2 linked regions of the Rattus norvegicus genome follow. The protein of the gene in region 1 interacts with the protein of each later gene in a biochemical or structural test. Links are inferred from orthologs where the notes say so. Each region holds a gene or a part of one and is shown on either strand. Other genes may lie near its edges.

Region 1 (6,675 bases):
CTAACTACTACTGAATGAGCATGCCCTTCCCTGGGTTCTTGAACAACTACAACCAAATGGTTTAATTCACAGATCCAGGAAGGACCCTGCCACATTCTGTCCAAAGATAATTCATTAACTCTTCAACGGAAGTCAAGATATTTTAAATAAAAATGTTGTCTCCGGTTGGATGACTAGGGCGCCCAGGGTTTTGCTAAGGACAGCAAATGCTTTTTTCCTCAGTCATCATCCCTGCGTGAGTGAGGCATCATTGGAAAATGTGGAGCCCATAGATGAGGGGTATCAGTCATCTGAAATGAAAGGTGGAAAAGTACAGGATAAACTTCACCCTCCCACACACACAAAGTCAACAAGTTAAAGCAGTCTTCACGGGATGGGGGAAAATGGTGAAGGATATGGTACTTGATTATTTTAGGGAGGGGAGGTGAGAGGGAGGGAAAGGGAGAGGGAGTGGGGGTGGAAAGAGAACCCAAGTGACCAGCCCACACTTTAAAAACCCGTGTCAGGAAGCCTACATTTTACAACATAAAAGAGAAAAGGGACTCGACTCGTCGCAGTTTAAAATGAGCAATTTTTTTTTCCTGATTAAAATTTAAATGCCTTAAACGTATTTTTAGCTGAGTGATCTTTTAACTTCATACATCAAAGTGTTATTGCTGGTCTAGAAAGACGGGAGTGGCTTGCCATCTTCAGACTTACCAAAAGAAAAAGAAAAAAAAAGAAAAATCTAACACCTTTAACCTCCTAGGTCCTAAGCCACACTGATTCAAAAAGATCTCCGTGTCATGATCTGCTGCTGCTGCTTTGCGATGAAACGCATGTGATTAATAATAATCTCCTTTTCTCTCAACTGTCTAGAGAGCCAAGGAGGGCATATCTATCCTGATCTCCCTATGTGTTCCATTAGACTGACTGACATATTTTGCCTCATCTGTCACCTTCCTCAAAACTCTGCTTTCAGATATGAGTTAATTCATTTTTAGTTGTCCTCAATGTTCTAAAATAGTGATGTCTGACAGAATTAAGGCAGTGCTCTAGTTCTCTCTGTTCGACTGATATTTAATTAAAGATCTTGGAGGCCATCTTTCAGGCTAGACGGTTAGAGGAGGAGCGTTACTTCCTCCTCGGACAATGTGATAAGCAGAAGGGTAGAGGCTGCCGCCCTCAGGCCTCCTGTTTAACAGACTGCTTTGCCACTCACAAACCTCCAGTAGGACAGGTTATCACTGTTTCACTGACTGTATTCCCAAACACCTTATCCCAGCTTCCAAGACGGTCTACCGTCTCTCTAACCTTCTCAGTGTTTAAAATGTTGGTAATGGCAACATCCCTCTCTCTATACTTTTGTCATCGCTTTTGTCGCCCTCCCCCCCCCAAAAAAAAACCTCAAAAGGCACCGAGAACACTTATTTTGTCACATTTCTTGAATCTCTCGTATCACAGGAAATCTTTTTGCACTCAGGGCCACCTTGGAGCACAAGCTAAAAGAAGCTGTCTTTAAATTTTTTTTCTTTTGAATTAGTATCTTTCGGAGACTGGCCCACTTGAGTTGATATGTCATAATTTTCGGTTCTGAAAGTGTCGTGGATAATTTAAATTGGCACTTGCTATGCATTACTTAAATAAGTGTTCTCCTGGATGGCCTCTGAAAAGCCTGAATTCCTTAATCTTGTTTTGACTATACAGTAACCACGAGGGACACGTCAATGTAAGCAAACTCCAAGAGCAATAAACTAACAAACAGACTCTAGGTGGTGGTATAGGTTATTTTTTTAATCACAACGTTTTGCTCTTAAAACTGGAGGAGTCAGAGGAGCCCTGGCCTCATCCACAAACATTTCTCCATTGCTAACCCACAATTATTTTCAGGTATCTCAATTACAAAAATCCAAGTTCTGCAAAGTTTGGAAACTCAGATTTCTAAGTCTTCTCGTAGGCATGAAAGCTGGTTTTCAACTACCTGTATATAAGCAGCAACCGAAGCCCTCCTTAGAGTTTTGAAGTATACTTTTTAAGGATATTTTCTTCTCGCTCCTTGTACTTTAAGTGTGGAGTCTTCCCAGTACAGTATAGAACAGGCTGGGGTGAGGCTCCAGTTTGCAGGTATTGCCTGCGGCATGACTGACTCTCCTTTGTCTCTACTAAGTCCTACACAGAAAGTTCCTGTTGGATCAATTAAACCCTATGGACAAACTGCTGGGCCAAACCAGGGCAACTCACTTGGAAGGGGAAGATTTCAACATTTTCCCAGGCTGCAGCCACTCTTAGGGGCCATGCATGTGAAGCACCCACCGTTTGCTTAAAAAGTCGACTCCGTCTCTTAGACAAAGGTGGCAACCTGATGATTAAACACTGGATAATTGCATCTGGAAGATGCCGCCCACTTGCTAAACCCATGATTCACTAATAAGCGGGTTCAATGTAATTCATAACTCTAAAGAATGAATTACCGAAGTCCCTGCTTTACAAAACCCAAGAGATAGACTACACATCGTTTAAGCATACACACAGACAGACAGACACACAGACACTCCAATCTTGTTTTACTTTTAGACTGTCTCTCTTTCTCTAAAAACACTGTTTTCGCTCAGTGTCACAATCAGTTACAAGAGCAGACAAACTCCAGCCTGGTGCCATCAAAAAAAAAAGAGTTAAAAGTTCTTGCACCTAACAATGTCCGGACTTCCCTCTAACTAAAATGATCCATTAATTTAAAAAAGTAAAGTATTTTAACGTAAAATTACCTAACGTTTCATACTTCGTTTGCGACCGCCAGAATCCAATTAAATTTCTGACATGATGGAAGGTAGAAACTCGTGGAATGCCTCAGAGATCAACATGTGTCAGACTCACTGCCTGTCCGCCTTTTAAACACAGTGGATTCCTTTGTTCCTTCCGTCTGAATATCAACTCCTGATTAAAATTTGGAAACTACTTTGGGAAGGATGGGAGGGTCTAGGGGAATGTTTCCGCGGAAGAGGGTTTCTTCTAGCAACAATAGTAGTAAGGAGGACAGTGGCACCAGAGAGAAGAGCAGTCTCTCAGGACTTCACCAGGCTCACCCGAGTGAACCCCTCTCGGATGCTGGGGGAACTGGGCTGAGGCCTCGGGTGCAAGGGGCCTCGCCCTCCTCGGCAGGCGGGGAGCTCGTGCCCAGCAGGCCGGGCCTGGGGCTCAGCGCTGTCCCTTCTCCGAGTCACTTTTCCCGGCCGGGAATCGGCGAGCACCGCGCAAGGGAGAAACCGGCGATAGGCGGGGAGCTGCGCGGGCGCCACCGCGAGCACCGCTGGGCGGCAGGACCGAGCGGGGCTGCAGCCAGCGCCCGGGGCTCGGGGCCAACGGGGGCAGCCGGGCGGGCGGGCGAGCTCGACCCGGGCCCCGCGATCCGGCCACCCGCGTGGGTCCCGGCGCATTACACCCAGGGCGGCTGCGCCCCTCGCGCCAAGGCTGGCACGGACGAGCCCGCGGCTGGGAACTCCACAACTTGGCGGCTGCGCCGGCCGGGCCCGCGAGTTCCCGGGGAGAGCCGGAGAGGGGCGCGGCGGCGCGCTGTCCCCGGGATCCGTGTCCCTGGAGCCCCCCGCGGGCCTCCCCCGGCCTCCGCCGCCTCCACGGGCCGCGCACCCAGGCCGTGCCCGGGCGGCTCGGCGTCCGCTCAGCGAGCTCCGCACGGAGCCCGGGCCGCGATCGCCACTCACCGAGGCCGCCGCGGCTCCGGGCCGCCGATCCGCGTCGCTCCCTCCTTCCCAGGTTAGCCGTGCCCTGCGGCCGCGCGAGGCCACGGGCGCTGCGCACCGGCGGGCTGGGGCCGGCTCGTCCTCCGCCTGCGCCGCGGTCGCCGTCGCCTCCCGAGTTCGGGGCTCTGCTGCAATGTCTGCGAGGCTGACTTTGAGCGCCTCGCTCGCCGCCCGCCCGCCGCAGCCGCGCTCCTCCCTCCGCCGCCGACTTCGCGGCGGCCGGGTCCCTCCCCTCGCTGCTCCACGCCATTCAGCTCTTCAGCCAAGTTTCTTAACCCTTTTCTGCCCCTCCCTCCCATTGTCACCCGGGCGGAGCGCGCACCCGGCGGCTTGCCGGAGCCCGGGAGCCCACCCGGCGTCTGCAGGCCTTCTCGCCGGTGCTCCGGGTGGGGGTCCGGGTCTGAGCGGCCTTGAAGGCAGAGGGAGGACGCGGTTGAACCGGAGAAGGGGGGTGCTTTGCTCCCCGAGCCGGCGCCCTGGCTTCCCAGCCGCGTCCAGCCAGCCGCCTGGACAGATTCCCCGCTAGGGGCCAGGCGATAGCCCATGTCACCCTTGCGGGGGCAAACGCTGGGGGCACCAAAGGGGAGTCGGGGCGCCTTAACCCTACCCCAGGTTCCCCACCTAAGGGCTGGCACCTTAAATGTCTCCCTTTCTCCCGTTTCAACCCACAAATACGCGTTCTCTTGGAGCCCTTTACCCACCCTCAATTTTCCACCTCCTTGAAATCTGTGTCCCGCTTAAATTCCGGAAGCCACGGCGCTATAACTCTAGGTCATTTTGACCCCATCCTCAGCACCTAGTAGGACCCAGTAATAAATATGGCATGATTGCAAGCGGAAAACTGGGAAGGAGACCTGAGGAGTGCACAGCTCAGCTCCCTAGACGGACGCAGGACCCAGGAACCTGGTTTATCTTCTGCTGCTTTGTCACTGCGAAGTCTCCAGTAGGGTCTGCCCGCCAATCTGCACCACCCCCAGGAAGGATCTGACCCAACAGGACTAGAAGATGGGCTGGCACTTCTTTAAGCAGCTCTGCTGGGTTCAGAGTCTCAATAAATAACAATTACATCACGGAGCCAGGGTGGCAGTGCAGCGAAACCTGGGTTTCCTGCAGCCTGGTCTTGCTGAACCCGCCTCTGAATTTGAGGGGGGCTAACAGATTGGTGAGGCTAGAAAGTGGAGGGAGGAGAGAAAAAGACGAAACCGTGATCTCTTCCTCTCCTTGTGTTTTCTGCTTTAAAATCCTATTCTCTCTACTCCCTTCATATGTTACTTGTGAAGCCTCCTTTTAACGCTCCCCCTACCCCAGATGTCACGTTTGTTTTTGACTCTAGCATCTTGCCATGAAAAGAATCATTTGCAGAAGTTGTTTTCGCTTGACATAAAAAAAAACAAAAACAAAAACAAAAAAAACAAAAAAACCACTCTAAAGTACATCTTTGGTTCACCCTAAACTCTGAAGTGCTATGCCTGTGTTAAAATACTTACTGACTAAGACAATTTTGTGGATGAAGCTGTCTACTCTCATACACACGTTTTCATATTCTTAGGAATTTCGGTAGCCTTCGGAAGCAGTTATTGATGTACACCGAAACCAAAAATTATCCAAGGGACCCCACTGTGTTCTTTACTGTTATATAATAGCTCTATAGCTATTTTTCCGATTTTTCAAATGAGCAGGGTCTGGAGTATGTTCCCAATCTTTAAAGTAAAGGCAATTTTTCAAATTAATTCTTCATAAAGCTATACCCTAGCTCAGTCCTGAGCGCATGCTAGAAGTATTTTTGCTTAATGCTGATAGTACATATTAAAATACTCTCTCTTCTCCTAGAGATTCACCTCTGCAATCTGTTTTCATCTAATGTGTAAATCTCATGTAACAGCATAGCACGTGCATTTCCCACTGTTCAAAATCTGCTTAAAGCAAACTAGTAAAGGCAGCACTTGTCCCAGGCACCATTATCTTTTGGACAGCATATATCCCGGATTGACACAAAGCAAATGATTACAAATTAAATGACCAGAATGATTGTAACTTAGCTCTTCAAATTTTTTTTAATATTATACAAAGACATTCTAAATGTATCTCATTTTATTGGGCCTGGTTGTTGTTGGTTTTGTTTTGAAAACCCAATGTCAGTTTTGTTAAAAGTCATCTTTGTGGTAGATTATAGCAGATTCAACAAATGCGTCCAGTTAGCCACAGTGGTACAAGGCTGTAATCAACTGGGAGGCTGAGACGGGAAGTGGGAAGTTGGAGGTCATCTAGGACTTTTTAGCAAGTTCAAGGACAATGAAGTTCCAAAACCAGACCCAATTTTGTAAAACTAAGATAGGGATGAGGCAAAGAGATAAAGCATACTTGGCTAGTATGTGTAAGGCAATGGGTTCAGGCCCCTGCACACACACACACGCACGCACGCACGCACATATACTGAAGACATTTCAAGCTTCACTTACCAATAGGCAAACATTTTCTTCTCTTCTGATTGGCAGTTTCTTCTCTGGTTCAGATAGCCTGTCGCAATTAATATAAAGTTAAACTAAGTAATAAATTGCATGTAGGAGAGTGAAGCTCCCACAGAGGACCACAGCAACAGACTTGGGGACAAATATTTGAACCTACTCTAACGTTACTTTGTAAAACATTTTTCTCACTTTTAAAAGAAGTTTTAGATCTCCAAGATCGCCCAGTAAGCTAAATCTTGTTCTGCTTGCCAAATATCATTGCTAAAACTCCAACAGCTATACATTAAATGGTGTACCAAAGCTGACCTCCCCCACCCAACATAATAAGTAAAATCCTGGACTCTTCTTGATAATATGCTTGTGTTAAATTAAACATACCTCATGTAGAATTGCTAATTGTGCAAAGATCATTTTGTATTTATTATTTCTATTAAATAGAAGAGCAGTACTGAGCCAGTAAGATGGCTCAG
Region 2 (6,430 bases), on another chromosome or scaffold:
GTGAGAAGCCAGCTCTGGAGGCAACTCGTCCTTCACATTGCCCTTGTCCAGGTCTGTTATCTGCCCATATTGGAAACTCAGAGAAAGGTGGCGATAGGGAACCTTTGTCTTTTAAAAGTTCAGTGTGACCCCCGACTGTATTCCTGGCTGGGGCTGGTTGAAGGTGGGCTTTGTAAGTGCTTAGTCGGCAAGATCTCTCCTAGAATTTAAGGAAGCAGCAACCTTCGTCGTTAGAGCCTTACATCAAGACAGATGTGGTGGGAGAATGACTGAACGAACTAGCCTGGTGTCGCATGACTTTAATGCCAGGACTCGGCACTCAGGAGGCAGAGGCAGGAGGATCACCGAGTTCCAGCCTGACAGTTAGGGCTCCGTAGTAAGTTAGTAGCAAGACCCTGTCTTTAAAACAGACAAACAAGCAAACCAGCAGGCATATCCAGTAAAACGAGGCAAACAACCAACCCTGCAGACCATGAAGAGAGACCACCTTAGTGCCCTGGGTTTTCTCAATCCTTGTCCTAGTCCAGATTACTGCTGAACCACAACTTCTGGGTCCTGCCTATCCAGGCAAACTATAATTGTATTTCTCACAACTTGAGATTATCCCTTAGCTCCTCTGGTACCCCAATCCCAGGAGACTACTTCCCCGTGAGCATGGACCCTGAGCCTGTACACCGCCTTGCTCCCCAGAGTTTCAACCAAATTTGATTATTGTCCAGGTGGCTTCGATTGGCAGACAGCCATCCTGCGTTGCCTCAGCGCACCAGAGAACACAGTGCTCTAAACTACAGCTGTTGCATGCCCACTGGGGGCCGGGACTGAGCAGGTTTATTTACTGTTTGCTGACTCTGCACACTACAGCCTCAATTCCCCACTGCAGCTGCCACTGTACAGTGCAGGCTTCTTTCAACCATTGTGTGTGTCCCTCCGTCCCCCCTTCCCATCACCAGTAACCGTAGGCTTCCCCTTCATTTCTTCCTCACCCAGCGTCCCTCCTTTTGTATCAGGAGCCCCACGAGAGAGGCATTCTCCCTTCTCCTCATCCCTTGCAAACCCTTAAAACCTCTTGTACGAGAAGTGACTCCGTTGGCTCAGGGTGTAGGTGGCTGAGACTAGGATGAGCAAGGACAGCCCGACTTGGATAGACTGTTGGTCAGCATCCCACTCAGCAAACGATTCTATCCAGTATGAACGGTTAGAAGAGCAGCTCCCCTGACACACTCTCTGGCTCCTCCCCAAGAGCAGGCTGTGGAGGCAGGGCTCCGCCCTGGGAGCCGTGGGAAGGCTATGGCCCCCGCTGGTAAAACTGGGCTAATGACAGCGGGGGAACCGGCGGGGCCAGAGGGGGGTGCTAGGGTAATTAGACCTCTGCCTGGCGGTAGTAGATCCCGAGATGAAAGGGGCTCTGGCGTCACTGGCAGGATTTTATGTCCATGAATGCAGGTGTGTGTGTGTGTGTGTGTGTGTGTGTGTGTGTGTGTGTGTGTGTGTCTCGCACGTGCGTGCGCGTGCGCGCGCAAGGGTCCGGAACTGGCATGGAGACCTCTCCTTTGAGAAAACGAGTCCACCTTTCTGCAGTCACTCCGCTCCTTAGGTTGGCTCTTGAACCATTTGGTTTTTGATGGTACAAACGGGAGAGGAAATATCACCTCAGTGAAGCTGGGAGATAAGGGGCTGTCTTGTCCTAGCCAGTCTTGTCCGCCCCCATTCCCCAAGCTTGGCATAGGAGTATATTGTTGGGGAAAGGATGGTGGGCAGTGAATAGAAGAGCTTCTATGGAGAACAGAGACGTTTGCAAGAGGAGGCAGTGGATCCAGCATTAATGTTAAAAGACGAGAGAGGAGGCACAATATGGAACCACCCTCCAAAAGGGCTGGAAAATAGGATGGTTGAAGTTAGGAGGATTTCAGAAGTAATCTGTGCAACTCTTGGATTTTGAGCTCTTACCCTGAAAGCTGTAATTCGTTCAAGGTCACACAGGGGAGTTGCTCCGAAAGAAGGGACCCGAACTCTGAAACAAACTACCCTTAGCATTTGGTATCTGGACTTCCTCCCGGATTTATAAGGTGTAGAGATCTCCTCCATCCTTCTCCCCTTACCCCAGGGAACAAACCAGAAACCCCCCCAATTCTCCCCGCGAGTGAAAGCTATTATATCTGAAAATGACATCTTTCTCAAAACGTTTCACCGAGCGTCGCTCCTGGACAGAGCCGCAGGGGGGATGAGGTGGGTGAGTCTGAGCCTGGTAGGGGCCAAGGAGGTAGATGTGCTGCGGGGCGGTAGGCCAGGGTCCCGGGAGCGGCGGGGGGCGAGGGGCGGGGACCGGCGGCTTCTAGGCGGCCTGCAGGGAGCAGCCGCGAGCCGGCCGAACGCGCGGAGCTGGAGCCCCAGCCGGAGCGGGGCGGGGGAGGGAGGAGCCAGAGCGGCCGCCGCCTCTGCCGGAGGAGCCGCGGGGCCGCCACACTCGCCCCCCGCCCCCCCGCGCTCACTCGCACTCACACCCCGGCGCTGGAGGCGGGCGGCCCGGGCCCCACCGGCCCCCCATGGACGCCCCCGGCACGGGGCGCTGAGACCCCCGCGTCCTTGCTCAGCTCGGTCCAGCGCGCCAAGCCGAGGTAAGGAGGAGGGAGCGAGGGGGCATTAATATGCAAATGCATCGCGATTGATTATGCAAAGCCGCGGGTCTCTGGCCAGCTCGGAGGCGGGCTGGGGGCGCCCAGGGGGTTCCCGCCGCCGACCTCAGCCTTTCCCGGCGCCCGGGTGACCCTGTCACAGCCCGAGAGCTAGTCACTTACGCCCTGGGGAAGGAAGGTGCTGTTAAGTGGTCGGTGGGCCCTGGGGTTCGCCCGCGGAGATGGCGTCTGGGCCTCCCCTTCGAGGGCCCGCCCCGGCCTCTGTCCGGCCGGTCTGCTGCGCATTCCCGGGATGGGCCCCGCTGCCTGCCGAAGCTCCCCCGCCCGCCGCGCCGCGCCGCGGTTTGTTTACGGTGTGCCAGAAGCCTGTCGTGTACCCCCCACCCCCACCAAGCCCCCAGCCAAAGAGACCGAATAGCCTTTGCAAAGCTGCCTCTAGCTACGGAGGGCAATGTGGGTGCGGCAGGGTGGGGGGGCTTGCATGGGCTGGGGGAGAGAGAAGCCCCCCTCCCCTCCCCACCTCTCCAGTTGAGCATGGCTTTCTGGTTGCAACACTCCTAATTGCAAAAACGCGGCGGGTGGGGTGGAGTCGGGGGGGGTGGAGTGTGAGCGTGTAGTAGTGGGGGTGTACTTGATGGTCCCTGGATGATTAGAATTGCTGGCCTGTGGTTGGGGAAGAGAGGAAGAAATGGACCCGTGGTGTGTGTGTGTGTGTGTGTGTGTGTGTGTGTGTGTGTGTGTGTGTGTGTGTACACGCGGGCACGCGCGCCTGTGCATGTTTCCCCTGTTTCCCTCCCTTTGCAACGTGTCTCTGATGCCCCTTTTCTGTCTTGGGCCCTCCCTTGTCCAGTGTGAAAAGAAGGCCTGGGAAGATGTCAGAGGCAATGGAGAGAGCCACCCATTTTAGGGACTGGAGGGGGAGCACACAGAAGGAAAGCCAGGGAGATGGGAGCCTGCCCCAGAATGCTGGCTCTGGACCCAAGAGGGGGAGGGGATGAAGGGGGCCATTGTCCAAGATGAAGGGGGAGGCAAAGGTGACATGCAGACACAGATATGCCTACACAGACAGCCACATGCACACTCGGGGACACCCAGGCAGATTCAAGGACAGGAGCTGCTGGACACACCCACATGGGGACAAGGGAAGAGGCAGGCCGCCACTGCATAGTGGAGCTCCTGGGGTGGGACACACCCACGGGAGACCAAGAGCAGAGCGGAGAGACAGCCTATGCACATACCCACGCACAGGTTCACAGGGAGCTGCTGTCACACACCGGGGTAAGGAGGAGTCGCTGTCACCCACACCGAGAAAGTCACTATCGAATGCATGCATGCATGCACACATGGCAATTTGCACACAGCCCCACGACCATAAAAGACTTTATCATTCAGAAGCACACACATGTGCACATGTGCCCAGTCGTGCAGCAGCCATCATTGCTTGCCATGACAGTCACTGTCACTCAGGCAAACAAACAAACAAACAAACCTGAGGCTACACATCAATACATTTGTACACAATTTAGCAACAAGTATTTTCCTGGATTCATCTGTGGAGCTGAGGTTCTGTAGACAATAAAATCCCTGCTACGGAGGAAATCACCTTCATCTGTGTTAAAAGACTTTTCTGCAAAAATGGTGCAAAGCATGCATTCCTGATAAAATAGTTTCATTTCTGTCACTGGCCATACCAGTTACTAGATGGCAGGCTCCTTAAGACATGGGAGAATCTCTAGAAGAGCCTGGATCCCACCCAGAGCCTAGCACAGTATGTGCTCTGTAAACACTTGTTAATTGATTGACTGTGGGAACTCTAGGCACAGGTGCACTTTTTTACACCTAGTCTCACAGGTGCAGGGGCCATGCACAGGGCTCCGACTGAAGTCACAGGTCCCACCTGGCAGTGTCCAGATAACCCTGCAGGTTGACACATTGTAGCTGGGGGCGGGAAGGCGCTTAAATGCACATAATCACAGACTTTTCTCTTTGGCTTCTTTCTATCTTTTAGGCTCTGGCACTGTGTAGCAATGGGCTCCCCCCCTCCGCCCCCTCTTTAGAGGGACAGGGGAAACAAGAGCAAAGTGGGTGCAAGGGGGTTCCAGAGGGCCGAGTCATAGGCCTGCAGCAGTGTCCAGTGACTTCTAGCAGCTGGGTTTGTCCTGGTTGCTGGGGGAGGGGTGTCTGGGGAAGAGTTGGGAGTGGCTCTCTGGCCCTCTCATCCCTAGCCTGTAAGCCAGTGTGGACCTAGCTGCCTCTGCTTGGGGTCATTTGGCTGGGCCTTTCCTGGGGACCCTTAGTTGTCCCCAGCTGAGTGCTAGCCTCCCACTGCGAATCCGCCCCTTTTCTCACCTCTGGCCCTCCTGTCCAAACTTGGAAGCTTTCCTTAGGAGGCCGTAAGCTGGCGAGTGGCTGAGTGAGTGAGGTGTATTTTTGACTTGGAATTTCTCTCTAACTCCGTCTCTCTCTCTCTGTTGCTGTCTTGGGGTGTCTGACTCCTGCTGTTCCTCCGCCAGTTTGTAACGTTCTGTCTTGCCCTGTGCTCCTCTCTGTTTCTGCCACGGCCTCTTTTCTCCAAGCTGGCAACAACATTCTTCATACTTTTCCAGTTGTTAATACTCAGATTCAGGCCCTCTGGCCCGCCCAGCCTTCCTCTGGGGTCAGTAGGAGGTTGGGGGGGGGGCGTGCTCAGCTGGCTGTTCAGGACATCCTGCGCTTCCTCAACGCCACAGCTGTGGCTGGCCAGCAAATTTTGGGGGCTGGGAATGGGGAGGGAAGGGGAATAGGCTACTGCATGTGTTGACCCCTCAAGCTGGCAGGCCCATCCAGCCAACCTTGGTCAATTCAGTGAGAGGACCTTAGGTTCAAGCCACAGCTCTTTAAGGAGCCAGCGAGGAGGCTCCTCCCCTGACTGGACCCAGGCGGGGTCTGAATTAGAACTCGGGGCCTTTCTTCACATCCCTAGCTTCTGAGACCCACCTCAGAGATGTCCCGACAGCTGTGTCTTCTTTGCACAGCTTCATGCTTGGTTCTGAGGGTACAGCTGTTTAGACTGTGCCAAATTGGGTGAGGGGAAGACCGTAGCCCACACAGGAGAACAGAAAGGGTGGCTCTTTCAGGGAGGGAAGTTGAACAGAGGCTACTGGTACAGGCGCCCCAATGCCTGTGGGGGAGAATGCATGGTGGGGGGGACTAACATGCCTGACTACGCACCCTGCAGCCTTGGCCTGCTTGGATAAGAATGCGTTAGTGATGGTTGTTGTAGAGTACTCCTAGACTTCAACAGAAAGACAAATGGAGGTTTGTCACAGGGGCTACGGGGCCAGACGAAAGGACAAGGTATCCTTCTAGCAGGACCCACTGCGGGGTTTATGTTGTCATGGTTAAAAGCGGGATTTTGTTGTTCACTTTGGAGCTCAACTGCCTGGATTTGAACCCTAAATGCCTCCCGATAAGTGTGTAACCTTGAGAAGACTTTGATTTCCTTCTTGCCTTATCCGTAAACTAGAGATGATAATATCTACCTGGTTTAGCTTTCCACCTGTATAAATGCTAAACTACACTAAGTGCTTGGGGAGCTAAGTCAGGAGTTTCAAGGCCAGTCTCACCTGCATAGAAGAGTCGAAGGCTAGCCTGAGTGGCATGAGGCCCTGCCTCAGACAGACAGACACATATATACTGCTTTAAGTAGATATGCCCTGTTTAAGTGCCCCGTTCCTAACCAGGTGTAGTGAATGGCACAAGCTGTAATCCTGGCACTGGCTGGAAAGGCTAGGGAAGAAAGACTAGGAGTTCTAAGC

Evidence for each region. The genes of interacting proteins can lie anywhere in the genome.
Region 2: the proteins of Nrip1 (region 1) and Thra form a complex in vitro, tested with the Homo sapiens proteins (4 studies listed by BioGRID). The link is inferred for Rattus norvegicus from reciprocal best matches to the Homo sapiens genes NRIP1 and THRA.

What each region holds. Positions count from the first base shown.
Region 1 is NC_086029.1:28,462,537-28,469,211, forward strand, and holds the start of Nrip1 (nuclear receptor-interacting protein 1), read right to left. Parts: upstream 3,877-6,675; 5' UTR 3,699-3,876; intron 1-3,698. UniProt on the Homo sapiens protein: Modulates transcriptional activation by steroid receptors such as NR3C1, NR3C2 and ESR1. Also modulates transcriptional repression by nuclear hormone receptors.
Region 2 is NC_086028.1:84,195,658-84,202,087, forward strand, and holds the start of Thra (thyroid hormone receptor alpha), read left to right. Parts: upstream 1-2,483; 5' UTR 2,484-2,615; intron 2,616-2,795; exon of another isoform or gene 2,796-2,950; intron 2,951-6,430.